Linked DNA regions of Arabidopsis thaliana. The protein of the gene in region 1 interacts with the protein of each later gene in a pairwise test. Each region holds a gene or a part of one and is shown on either strand. Other genes may lie near its edges.

The links. Proteins that work in one complex are often made in the same cells at the same time.
Region 2: the proteins of ADA2B (region 1) and AHG1 interact in binary tests that used the Arabidopsis thaliana proteins (3 or more experiments, as listed by UniProt).

What each region holds. Positions count from the first base shown.
Region 1 is NC_003075.7:9,261,712-9,267,958, forward strand, and holds ADA2B (ADA2 2B), read right to left. Parts: upstream 4,447-6,247; 5' UTR 4,065-4,446; coding exon 4,015-4,064; intron 3,572-4,014; coding exon 3,516-3,571; intron 3,429-3,515; coding exon 3,256-3,428; intron 3,133-3,255; coding exon 3,067-3,132; intron 2,977-3,066; coding exon 2,851-2,976; intron 2,754-2,850; coding exon 2,678-2,753; intron 2,589-2,677; coding exon 2,540-2,588; intron 2,462-2,539; coding exon 2,442-2,461; intron 2,191-2,441; coding exon 1,971-2,190; intron 1,889-1,970; coding exon 1,678-1,888; intron 1,598-1,677; coding exon 1,373-1,597; intron 1,286-1,372; coding exon 1,094-1,285; 3' UTR 910-1,093; downstream 1-909. Other genes in the region: AT4G16400 (uncharacterized protein), read left to right, coding at 1-117, 355-391; AT4G16410 (uncharacterized protein), read right to left, coding at 308-865; AT4G16430 (basic helix-loop-helix (bHLH) DNA-binding superfamily protein), read left to right, coding at 5,888-6,247. UniProt on the Arabidopsis thaliana protein: Required for the function of some acidic activation domains, which activate transcription from a distant site. The exact mechanism of action is not yet known.
Region 2 is NC_003076.8:21,025,194-21,030,038, reverse strand, and holds AHG1 (Protein phosphatase 2C family protein), read right to left. Parts: upstream 3,165-4,845; 5' UTR 3,124-3,164; coding exon 2,659-3,123; intron 2,593-2,658; coding exon 2,248-2,592; intron 2,182-2,247; coding exon 2,076-2,181; intron 1,462-2,075; coding exon 1,127-1,461; 3' UTR 851-1,126; downstream 1-850. UniProt on the Arabidopsis thaliana protein: Negative regulator of abscisic acid (ABA) responses during seed germination.

The sequences.
Region 1 (6,247 bases):
AACAGCCGCCTTCTTAGCGATGGCAATCACCTTTGGTGGCTTTCAACAGCTTTCAGAAGAAGCCACCGGCGAGAGACTGATGGATTACGTCGCCGGACGGCCTGAGGATTCTCACAAGTACGACTGACAAAGATTTGCACACAAGTATATATCCATCTTTAAAAAGCTTTAACAATGTAAATGATTTGGTGTAACTTATGTCAAATAAAATGTCGAATGATTGTGTAACAAAATTTAAAATAGATAAAAAAAAACAGAGCATAAAAGCAGAGTATTAATGAAGAAAACAAAAACAAACTATAGTTGGTCAATAACTGTATTGATAAGCGAATTCGTTGACACCAATCATGGCAGAAACAACTTGAGAGACGATATAGAAGCTACCACCTAAGATGAGTAGAATGAGAATGGCGGAGATTGGGTTCTTGAGGAGCTCAAAGATGGGCTCAAAGACAGCAGAGAGAGCTCCAGTGCTAACCGTGAGAGCGTAAAGACCGTACCTTCTAACGTTGTCCCAAAACTCTTCCATTAAAGGACCTTCTGGTCCAAGCGCCATAGCTTTCTCTGCATCCATTCCCAATACCAAAACCATCATCAACCCTACAGAGACTCCACCAACCACAGCATATCTCCAGTGCCGTTCCAAACCCAGAGGAGGAGGTTGTGCTCTTTCAAGCTTGCTGTTTCTGCTACTTTTCGTAGTCAATCTTCTTCTGGCTGAGCCACACCGAACAAGACATGATGTTCTGTTCCTTATGCTTGAGCTTGGAAAAGCTAGAGCTGCTGCTATTGATCTGCTACTGGTAAAATGGAGGTGTGGTTGCAGACAAGATAGTCTCATTTTGGGGAGAGACATCATCGTCATCTCACTTCTTCCTTTCCTTGTAGGAGTCAGATTCTTTCTTATATACTAAAACATTTGGTTTAGATTGTGTGGCTCTGATTCACCTTATCTCTTTTCACAATCTGTGGATAACTTAATCGTTTTTCTATTACAAACTAATTTTGACAAGGTGTAATAAACAAGGGAATGTCAACAAATAACTCATTAGAGCTCACACATATATATATATGATACAACACTACACAAGCCTTAAAGTTGAGCAATACCCTTCTTCACAAGCATATCATAAACTCGATCCACTTTGGTTGGATCAATCTTGAAAAGGCTATATGCATCCGACTTCTTCGTTACATTCCCTTTGAATATCTCATGTGACATCACTTGTTGCATCTGTAGATAAACCGGTGGAACCAACTTGACCTCGCTGCAGAGACGCTTCTCCTGCAAAACAAAGAGCTTTCTTCTTTCAGTTACAACGACAGAAAACTCATCTCACACTGTTCAGTATCTCAGTTCTCAGACACTTACGGATTCAGACAGCAGTTGCGACTCCGTGAACCCAATCAAGTCCAAATCATTCACATAGCTTGAAGAAGCTTGCACAGGTGGTCTAGAGCCCATCTCCCCTGCAATTTGACCAAATTGACCGCTCTCTTTCCCTCTGTTCATCCCTTCTTCGTTTTCTCTCTTCCTCTTCCTTCCCAGATACCTCTCTGCTTCAGCCGTTGAACGACACCCTGCCACTTGAGCTTCCTGCTCCACCAATCCAACACAGTGAGCCACATCCAATCCAAGAAACCAAACGCACAGTTTGAGGGTAGCAATGTCCTTACCTTGAGATCTTTGAGCCGTTTCACCATGCGGTACTCGCTTACAACATTACGGAGTAGCTCGTCGTGCTCCTCTTTTGAATGAAAACGCATAAAAACGTCCAAACGTCGGCATTGTACTTTCTCCTCCTGAGACAGGTCCTTCTCAAAGGGATTTGGGTACAACAGGTTTCTTTCTATTATGAATTCTTTTCTACGTTTCCTCTCATCAAGCCTACAAACATCATACTCACCTGCGTCAGAATGGACAGCAAAAAGAAGAGACTTTGTTCCCCTTTTGATCTTAAATGTTGTACCTTTTTGAATAGATACGCAACACACGCAGCTTCAGTTCATGTTCTTCAGGAGTATCGTTCTCTTTGAACTCCATCTCCGCCAAGAGTTGCTCAGCATCATTGTCATATTCAGGGTCAAACTCTTCTCTTTTCTGGTTGTAATTACTCAGCTCAACCAAAGAGTTGTTTACCGAGGTGGAAACAGGTTTCTTCCCTCCAAAACTTCTGTCTACAAAAGACTCTAACCACAAAGAATGTCAAAACATAGAAAAAGGGAGAAAATATCTACCAGTATAAATACAATGACAAATATTGGGCCTTTTTGGATTTTAAAATTATGCTCAGTCAGCTTCTTACTTTACAAGTAGATGATTCCATTTACGCGATGGTTAACTAGATTATAACTACTGGTGTAAGCTAGAGCAAGTAAATAACAAAACGATAAGCACACCTATATACGAACCAGATATAGCATACAAAGCAAGAACTCACCTTTTTGTGTGTCTTCAACTCTGCAAGAAAATTGAACAAAAGATGAGAAAATTATAGGGTTATCACTGTACAGTACATGAGAAGAACGAGAAACATACTTGACTTTAGGAGGAGAGAACGGGTACTCTTCTTTCATGTTCTGCTCTGCTGCCAAAGAAGAAACCACTTCAAAATCAGAATTAAAATAGCAACACGTACAACGCAGAATCAAAACCATCAAGCAAAGAAGCGCATACCTTTCTTGTCATCAATGCGTCCTTTAGCCATGGCTTGAAGTTCTTTTCTGTTCTTCCCTGCTACATGTGACATATCCTGGGAAAATAAACGTTTCTCCTGAATTAGTTAATACCTTGCAAAAGGCTGGCACTACTGAGGTAGATAGGTATCTTATCAGATCGATGTAGCATACCGGAAGTGGGAAAAATGGTGAGTTCAAATAGATGTTTCTGTAGTGCTCAAGACACTGTTCTTTACTCTTCGTTCCCACGTGCTCCGCAACCTCTGCCCAGTTTCCCAAGCCATAAATTTCAAGTCCCTGAATAAAGACATTAAAAGAAATTACTTTTCACTGAAAGAATCAGACATTATAGACTTCATATCAGTACGATAAAAGAAGTAGTGGTACCTCCAGGAGAAGCATTTCATCATCCGCACTCCAGTCAGGACAAATAAGCGGGAAAGTTAGATTTCCCTAACAAAGCAAATGAAACATATATTAAGCTTTGGTAGAATTCAACCAAAAGATATTTTCGCTAAGTATAATGAATCAAACTCTTTCCAAACTAAAAGGTAAGAAAAGTAAATGAAAACTAACCATAACTCGGTATGGGTGATCACATTTGTGAGGAGTGATCTCTGCTCCAACAGACATACATTCTATACAGAGATCAAAATCTGGACAGACAGCACACTTTATCCTAATTTTTCCAGTAATGTCTTTCTGGCAATAATCGCAGTTATACTTCCCTCCTCCCTCAGCACCTGGTACTGTCTCCACAAATAAAAAATGTTGAGTAAAAGAAGAATCTTGACAGGAGAAACAAAAAAAAAAAACCTTGATAAGTATTTTTTTACCCAAAGAAGTAGACTCAAAGTTCTCCACATTAGCCGCATTTTTCTTTTTCCTCGTTCTGCAACAAACGCATAACACGATTCTTTCATGTCAGCTTCAACAGTGAAAAAACAATTACACAGATGAAAACAGAGAAGAGACTACATAGCTACTGAAAGTTTTCAAAAGCAACAAACTTTAAGCGATGCTCATTGTCCCAACTGAAAAATCAATGATTGTTGCACAAAGCAGATGCAAAGAAACTTCAAAATCAATCAATTTCAGCAGAAATTGGCACAATTACATAGATGAAGATAGAGGAGACTATAGCTACTGAAAGTTATCAAAAGCCACAAATTTGAAGCCATGCTCATTGTCCCAACTAGAGATCAATGACAATTGCACAACACAGACTCAAAGAAACTTGAAATTCAAATCAATTTCAGCACAAATTGGCAATTACAAAAGAGAAATCCACAAAAACCCCAAATCGGAAATTAGAGTAGTGAATTAGGAACAAACCTCTGAGTAGGGTCTTCGAAATTTTGGAAGTTCCCTCGAGAGCGACCCATTGATGCCCAAGTAGAAAATTGGATTATTGGGTTATGCGAAACCACAGAGAAGAAGAACCCTAGCGTAATGCCAACATGGGAGACTCACCGGAGAAGATGGAATGGGTACTTGGGGGGGTTTCGTGGAAGAAAGATCTAATCGGAATTCAACAAAACTCGGTCGAAATTTGTGAGGTTTTGGATCTCTACTAATATTATTCAGAAGTTCCGACCGAGAAGATTAAAATTAGGGAAGTCGAGGTAAAGGAAATTTCTAAGGCACTGTACTTTTTAGATTTTTTGGGATTAGACGGTCATGCTTATTACTAAAGCATATGACTTAAACTAAATTGACTCTTATAACTTCAACTTAAAAAACTATTATTTTTTATGTTAATTGTTGAATGGTGGTTGAGGGAAAAAAAAATGAAGAAAAAAAAGCTAAGATAGACCATTTTTATTGGTAATTTTTTATTATTAAAATAATAAAAATAATAAAAGGAAAAGAAAGAGAGTGTAGAATGTTTCTCGTTAAACTATGAAATACTTTATACAAACCATCATAATATTTTTCTCTTTTCAATTGGTTCGCTAAAATAAAAATTTAATCATATATAAAATTATAATAAAATACTAATATTCTTTTTGTTTGAAAAACTGTTTGGGTTTCTTCTTGATGGAGATGTCTTTAATATTTGGTTGGGTTATGGTTATTCGTTTTTAGGTATTTTGTTCATGGACATTTTCAGTAAATGAATTAGCAAGTAAATAAACTTGTATAGGAATAAATGGTTAGTGTTGTCACACACTATCGGAACAACATTATGATGTATTTTAAAATCTTATTGATGCTAATTTGAAAAATTGATTTGGAAGAAGGTTAAGCAAGGAAACAACCATATAAGATAGTTTGATGCTAATTTAAAGTTTCTTATTTTGGTCGAAAATCGAATTATTAGAAATGTTTGAACCTTTTTTATTAGACATCTAGTGATAAATTTTATAAGACTCATGTCAATCGAATAAAAATATCGAATTGTTGTTTTGCTGAACGAATAAGTTTGTCTATATTAGACGCGATTAGTTCTTCTAAACCACATTATCCAAAAAAATCGTGATTGACTACATGGTGTAATGATACCTATCATACCATCTCAAGAATATGGCATGACTCATCCAATTAACAATTGTATTTGCGCATAATTGTAAGATGTGTAAATTCCTTTTCCGCTTATTAACGGTGATTTGCGATAAGTTAATTCAGAAGACGAGTTTCGATTCTCCCATCATAATAGGTTGTACTACGAAATAATTTCCCAACATGTACACATAATCTCGACAAAAATCCAGTGATATGGGTTTACTTGTAGTTGAATAGATATTACACCACAATGACTTGTGGTTTGGTATGTAAGAAAAGGCAAAAGTATAGTTTGCAGTTAAAAAACTGAAGGAAATGATGTCCTTGGTATTAAATTACGATTAAACCCATATTCTCTCTCTCGCATAGTCTCTTCCTCTTTTCTTCTTTCTTCGTCAATTTCAGAACAAGTCACTACAGATCTGAAGTGAACCAAGCTCAGGTTTTGTCTTCTCTTTGATCATTCCTTTCTCAGCAATATAAATTAGAGTTATATCCTTTATAAAGGATTTTGCTTTTTCACCAACAAACCCTAAATTCGGTGTCTCAGCAAGAATCACGTGATTCTCGTTCCTCTTCCTCACGAAACCCATCATCTTCTATCTCATTTGTAAGCAGCGATCTCAATCCAAATACCTTTAATTTTATTTGATTCCATACCCTAATTTTTGTATATTCCATGTCAATGAACGTTTCAGGAGAAATGGGTCAAAAGTTTTGGGAGAATCAAGAAGATCGAGCGATGGTTGAATCCACCATAGGCTCTGAAGCTTGCGACTTTTTCATCTCAACAGCTTCAGCTTCCAACACTGCCTTGTCCAAGCTTGTCTCACCACCAAGTGATTCCAATCTCCAACAAGGGTTACGTCACGTTGTTGAAGGATCTGATTGGGATTATGCTCTTTTCTGGCTAGCGTCCAACGTTAATAGCTCTGATGGTTGTGTCTTGATCTGGGGAGATGGTCATTGCCGTGTCAAAAAGGGTGCTTCAGGTGAGGATTACTCTCAGCAAGATGAGATCAAAAGACGTGTGCTTCGCAAGCTTCACTTGTCGTTCGTTGGT
Region 2 (4,845 bases), on another chromosome or scaffold:
AGAAAGGGAGGGAAATGTAGTAGATTTTCTGGTTTGGTAGTTTAAACAAAATACAAAGAATATATACACAAAAGAAAAAAGTGGAGAAAAAAAAAAAGATTCTTGATTCTCACTCTCTTTTGTGGTCCAAACTTGAAACTAAACAAGACGTAGAGAGAAGCTAAAAGGCCCACAAACACAATTATGATTCAAAGAAAAGTGCGACACAAACACTGAGACGATAATGACCCAAAAAGAAAAGAACAAAAAGTAATGTAAGAATTATTCATGAGAACATTCTCCATCTCACGCTTTTTGTTTTACTTCAAAGACAATTCTTGATTCTTGATCTCCCTTTTATTTAGGACCAAAACTCTGTATTCGTCAAACCTGTTCGAATTGTTCCATTTCCATCGAACTATAAGAGTTGTCTTTTTGTCTCTCTTTCTTGAATTGTTCTCTTTGATTCTTTTGCACATCTCTTTTTTTTTTCCTTTAAAGCCTAAAGAGTAAAGACAATCTGGTAATTGGCCCAAAAGCCTATATAGCATTGTTGAACCAAATATAAAACTGCACGGTTGAGTAGGGTTAGGGCTGGTTCAAAATCTCAGCCTTAAATTCACTTCATTCAGGTTGTACCAAAATGTAAGTATTTGTAGACAGAGATGACTTTAACCATTGGAAATGATCAGTCCATCAAAAAAATATAAAAGACCAAGACCGGCGTCTAATGAACTACAACGAACAAAACCAAAGCAGTACTACGTTTTTATTTTATCTATTTATTTCACACATACCACCTAAATAGCTAAACGATCAATAACTTCAAAATGATCACACACATACAACAAACAAAATTAGAGAACAAATTCTCTCAAGTTAACTTTTATTTTATTGTTTAAACCACTAAATACCCTTAATAGCCCATGGCCAAACCACTAAATAACCTTGTAGCCCATATCCAAACAACTCTCTTTTCCTTTCACATTCGCCGGTGTTAATGTGTATTGGTAACCCCAATTCATAACAAAACAAAGACGGGCGCTAAACCCTAAAACTAATTAAGGCTCATCGCTATATCAACATCTTATTCTTTGGTTTAACCACTTAATTGCACAACCACCAAAAAAAGGATCCAAAACTAGTTTTACTGAGAGCTATTCTTGAGATCAATGACGACCACACTTATATTATCACTGCTTTGTCTACCCAAAGCCAACCGCGTTAGCAACGTTGCAGCCAATACACTCCTTGAAGGATTTTGTTCTCCGTCATTGTCGTCTTCTTGAGCCATTCTATTTAAATCAAGGCTCGAGGGAGTTTCTTCGCGGAGACAAAACCTAGCTATGTCACAAGCTAGCTGACTCGAGAGTACATCCCAAAGCCCATCGCTTGCTAATACTAAGCATTCATCTCCAGATTCCCTTCTCATGAATGTTACTTCTGGTTCCCATGCTACCATTGGTTTTAGATACCTGTCCCCTGCTCCATGAATTGTAACACAACATTAGGAACAATTTCCATACTAAAACTTCATGTTTAGTCTAATAAATTGTATAACCGAAATAAATTTTAAGTTGGTTAAATGATCAAACAATGAAAGATACAAAGATAAGACACATTTAAATACTTTTGAAGTTAAGAAAAATACTTCTCCCGTTCTAATCCATGAGATGGTTTGTATGAATGCCCACATTTTTTATTTTCGTAAAATGATTCAATTATTTTTGTTTTCTAGTTAATGCTGCAAATATAATTTTTTTTGTTTTTTTTTTTTTTTGTCAAATGTTAAACTATTAGGACCAATGTAAAATTTCTAGTTAACATTTTGACAAAAAAAAGAGAGTAAAATTTACATATTTTTTTTTTAAAGGAACAATTATAAAACATCTTTGAAAATAGAATTAGAATTAATCAACAAAAGAACTCGCACCAAATGAAACCAATCCATAGTACCTTAGTTAGTAAACTTAAAACCCTAAACCCCAAATCCGAAATGATTATTATTGCCCTTATAGGCTCTAGTTCCTTGCCATCTTCAACACTATCAACTAAAATCATCTTTTACTACAATATGAGAATTGAGAAAGGTATACCTATGGCTCTGGACGTGGCTAGAATTCCTTCAACTCTAGCTCCATCCACTACTAAAACTCGACCACCAGCTGCTTCAATCCTCGCACGCTCGTCTGGTCTATCCGGCTGCAAAAAACTCAACAACTTCAAAATAGAAACTCCAATATTCTCAAACCTTTACAAGAACACCACCTTGTGATCGTTACTCAGAGGAATAGCCATTCCATTTCGACACAACACCGCACGTGAGTCACCAGTATTGGCTACAATAATATGATCGTGCGTCAAAACCGCAGTGACCGCCGTTGAACCCGAAATCGCAGCCTCCCTCGGATCACAGTTACACAACGGCACACTAGTCCCACACACGCATGTACTCGTTGCCATCTCATCCATCCTCTTGAAACTCCGTTTCATCACGCCCCGCCATTTCCTCTCCACGACATCGTTTTCGCTTCCTTCTTCCTCCTCTTCGAGGTTTTGCTCTAGCTCCTCCTTGACAAACGTGTGCATAGTCGTGCTGCACAATGTTGACACCTGTCCACGCATCACATCAGCATCTTTATATTAAATGACCAAACCACCCCTGGTTAATTTTCTTACCTGAGAACCGCCGTGGCCATCGTATACCGCAAAGAAATGAACCGGTCTTTGCCGGTTAACTTCCGGTTTGCACAAATTCGGTTTAACAGTAACCGAATCCTCCATCTTACGAGATCTTCCCATAACCGAAACTATACCGTACAACGGCTCATCCTCCGTTTCTTCTCCCTTCCACACCGGCGCTTCCGATTTTTGGCAAGAAGATGCCGCCGGAGGTGCCAAAAAGCCCCCGATATCCGCCGGAAGACCACCGATCTCTGACCTCCGAGCTTGTTTCCTCAATGGAACGTCAAAACTTGAGTAAACTTCCATGTCCGTCCGATCACGATTCCTAGACGAACTAGGTTCGCCGAAAACCGCCGCTTGTCTCCGCATCTCAATTCTCCGACGACGACGTTCACGGCATTTAGTCGGAGAAACGTCGTCTCCACGTCCGGTTGAAATTGTTCTGTAGATTTCAGTCATCTTTTCAAAATTCGTTTCGGTGGATCAAGAGAGCACCGCTTTATATACATGGGGCCGAGAGAAAGAGAGAACACTTTGAACATAAAGAAGCTTACGAGGAAGACAGAACACGTGTCGGTGTTTCGATGTATTCGCGTGTTAGGCTCAGGTGTTAAGTTGTTGTCCACGTGGAGACGCCTTCGGTTTTTGTTAAACCGCATCCGGTTTTGGGTTCATGACGATAGTCGTTTAGCTAGGCTCTTGTGTCTTAACTCCTTTCTTCTTCTCCTTGCTTGAATTTGAACCCATGAGCCGGAGCTGATCTCTCAAACCATGTGAACTACAAGGATCAGGCTGGTTCTGGACTAATTCATCAAATATTATAGAAAATGAAAAACTCATGATATACGAAATATTGCATCTTGTTTCCTTTTGCTTTCAATATGAAAACATTAATGTCAAAACAATGACTATAAATGTAACAATATTGAAAAGGTTTATATCAATTTTCTTATTTTTAAAAAGAATTAAATTTTGAAAACCATCTTTTTGAAAAGTGAAAACAAACAATTTCTACTATATTAAATCTGGAATAACATTTACTGATCGTTCCAAATCTCGAGTAGTATTTTCTATAAAACCTGAACGGTAAGTATACTTAAACCAAATCATGGGATTAACCATAACGTTGGAGATATCTTCGGAGAAAAAGGTTGACGAATCGTCAATCGTCACTAGTCACTCTTTTTCGGTGCAACACATGTCACATAGTGATCATCTACAACTTCTCGATTCCTCAGGTTGAGCGACTTGTACCAATTAAACACGTAGCATAGTTATGCCAGTTTAGTCCATCAGTGCCATATGCCTTTTATTCTTTATTTGGTTTCCTACAAATGAAGAAAAACGGCGATATATGTATATTTTATGCTAACAGATTTGATTTGTAATTAATGTCTACTCAAATAAGCAACTGTACAAGATACAAAGAATCATATCATTATTTATTCAAATACTCAAGATCTACGAAAACCGTAATAAATGTTTACAAACTGTCTTTGAAATATATTAAAGTGGGTGAACTGAAATATGTGGATCGATCAATCCTAATATTTTGCTATATTGATGAGAATTAATACGAGTCGAATAGATCATAACAGTTAGGGTGGTTCTCTCTACATGAATGATATGGTTTAGCTAAAAACTAAAACAAACAAAATATTAAGCTAATATAAATGTGTAAGTTATCTAAAAGGAAGATAATAATGAAAAAGCTTGTCTAAAATTCTTAAAAAATGATTCAAACACACTTTACCTTAAATTTGTGATTAGTTGGGACTGGGATATAGTTTTAATCATTGGTGGGTTGGGTGGTTAGTTTTAGGTTTTAATGATTGAAAACTTAACTTGCCGATATAGTGATTTTGTTTTTTTTTTTATGTGAAGAAAATAAAAACTAGTGAGCTTAATTTCAATCCCTGGCTGTTTTAGTAGGTTATTATATATAAACCATATATGATAGAAATGTTATCTTCGTACATCAATGTTTGTTTAAATTGTTTATTCAGTTTTTTATGATCTTCTTGCGGAAATTTGGTTTAATAATTTTGCGTGTGGTTAGAATTACTATATGAAGGGAAGTTGCTTACCAAAAATCCTATGATCAATTCAGAAAAAGTTGGAAAATAATGAGAAAGAATAGTGTTTGTAGTGAAAATACTTTGTGTGGGGTCCAAATCTCCT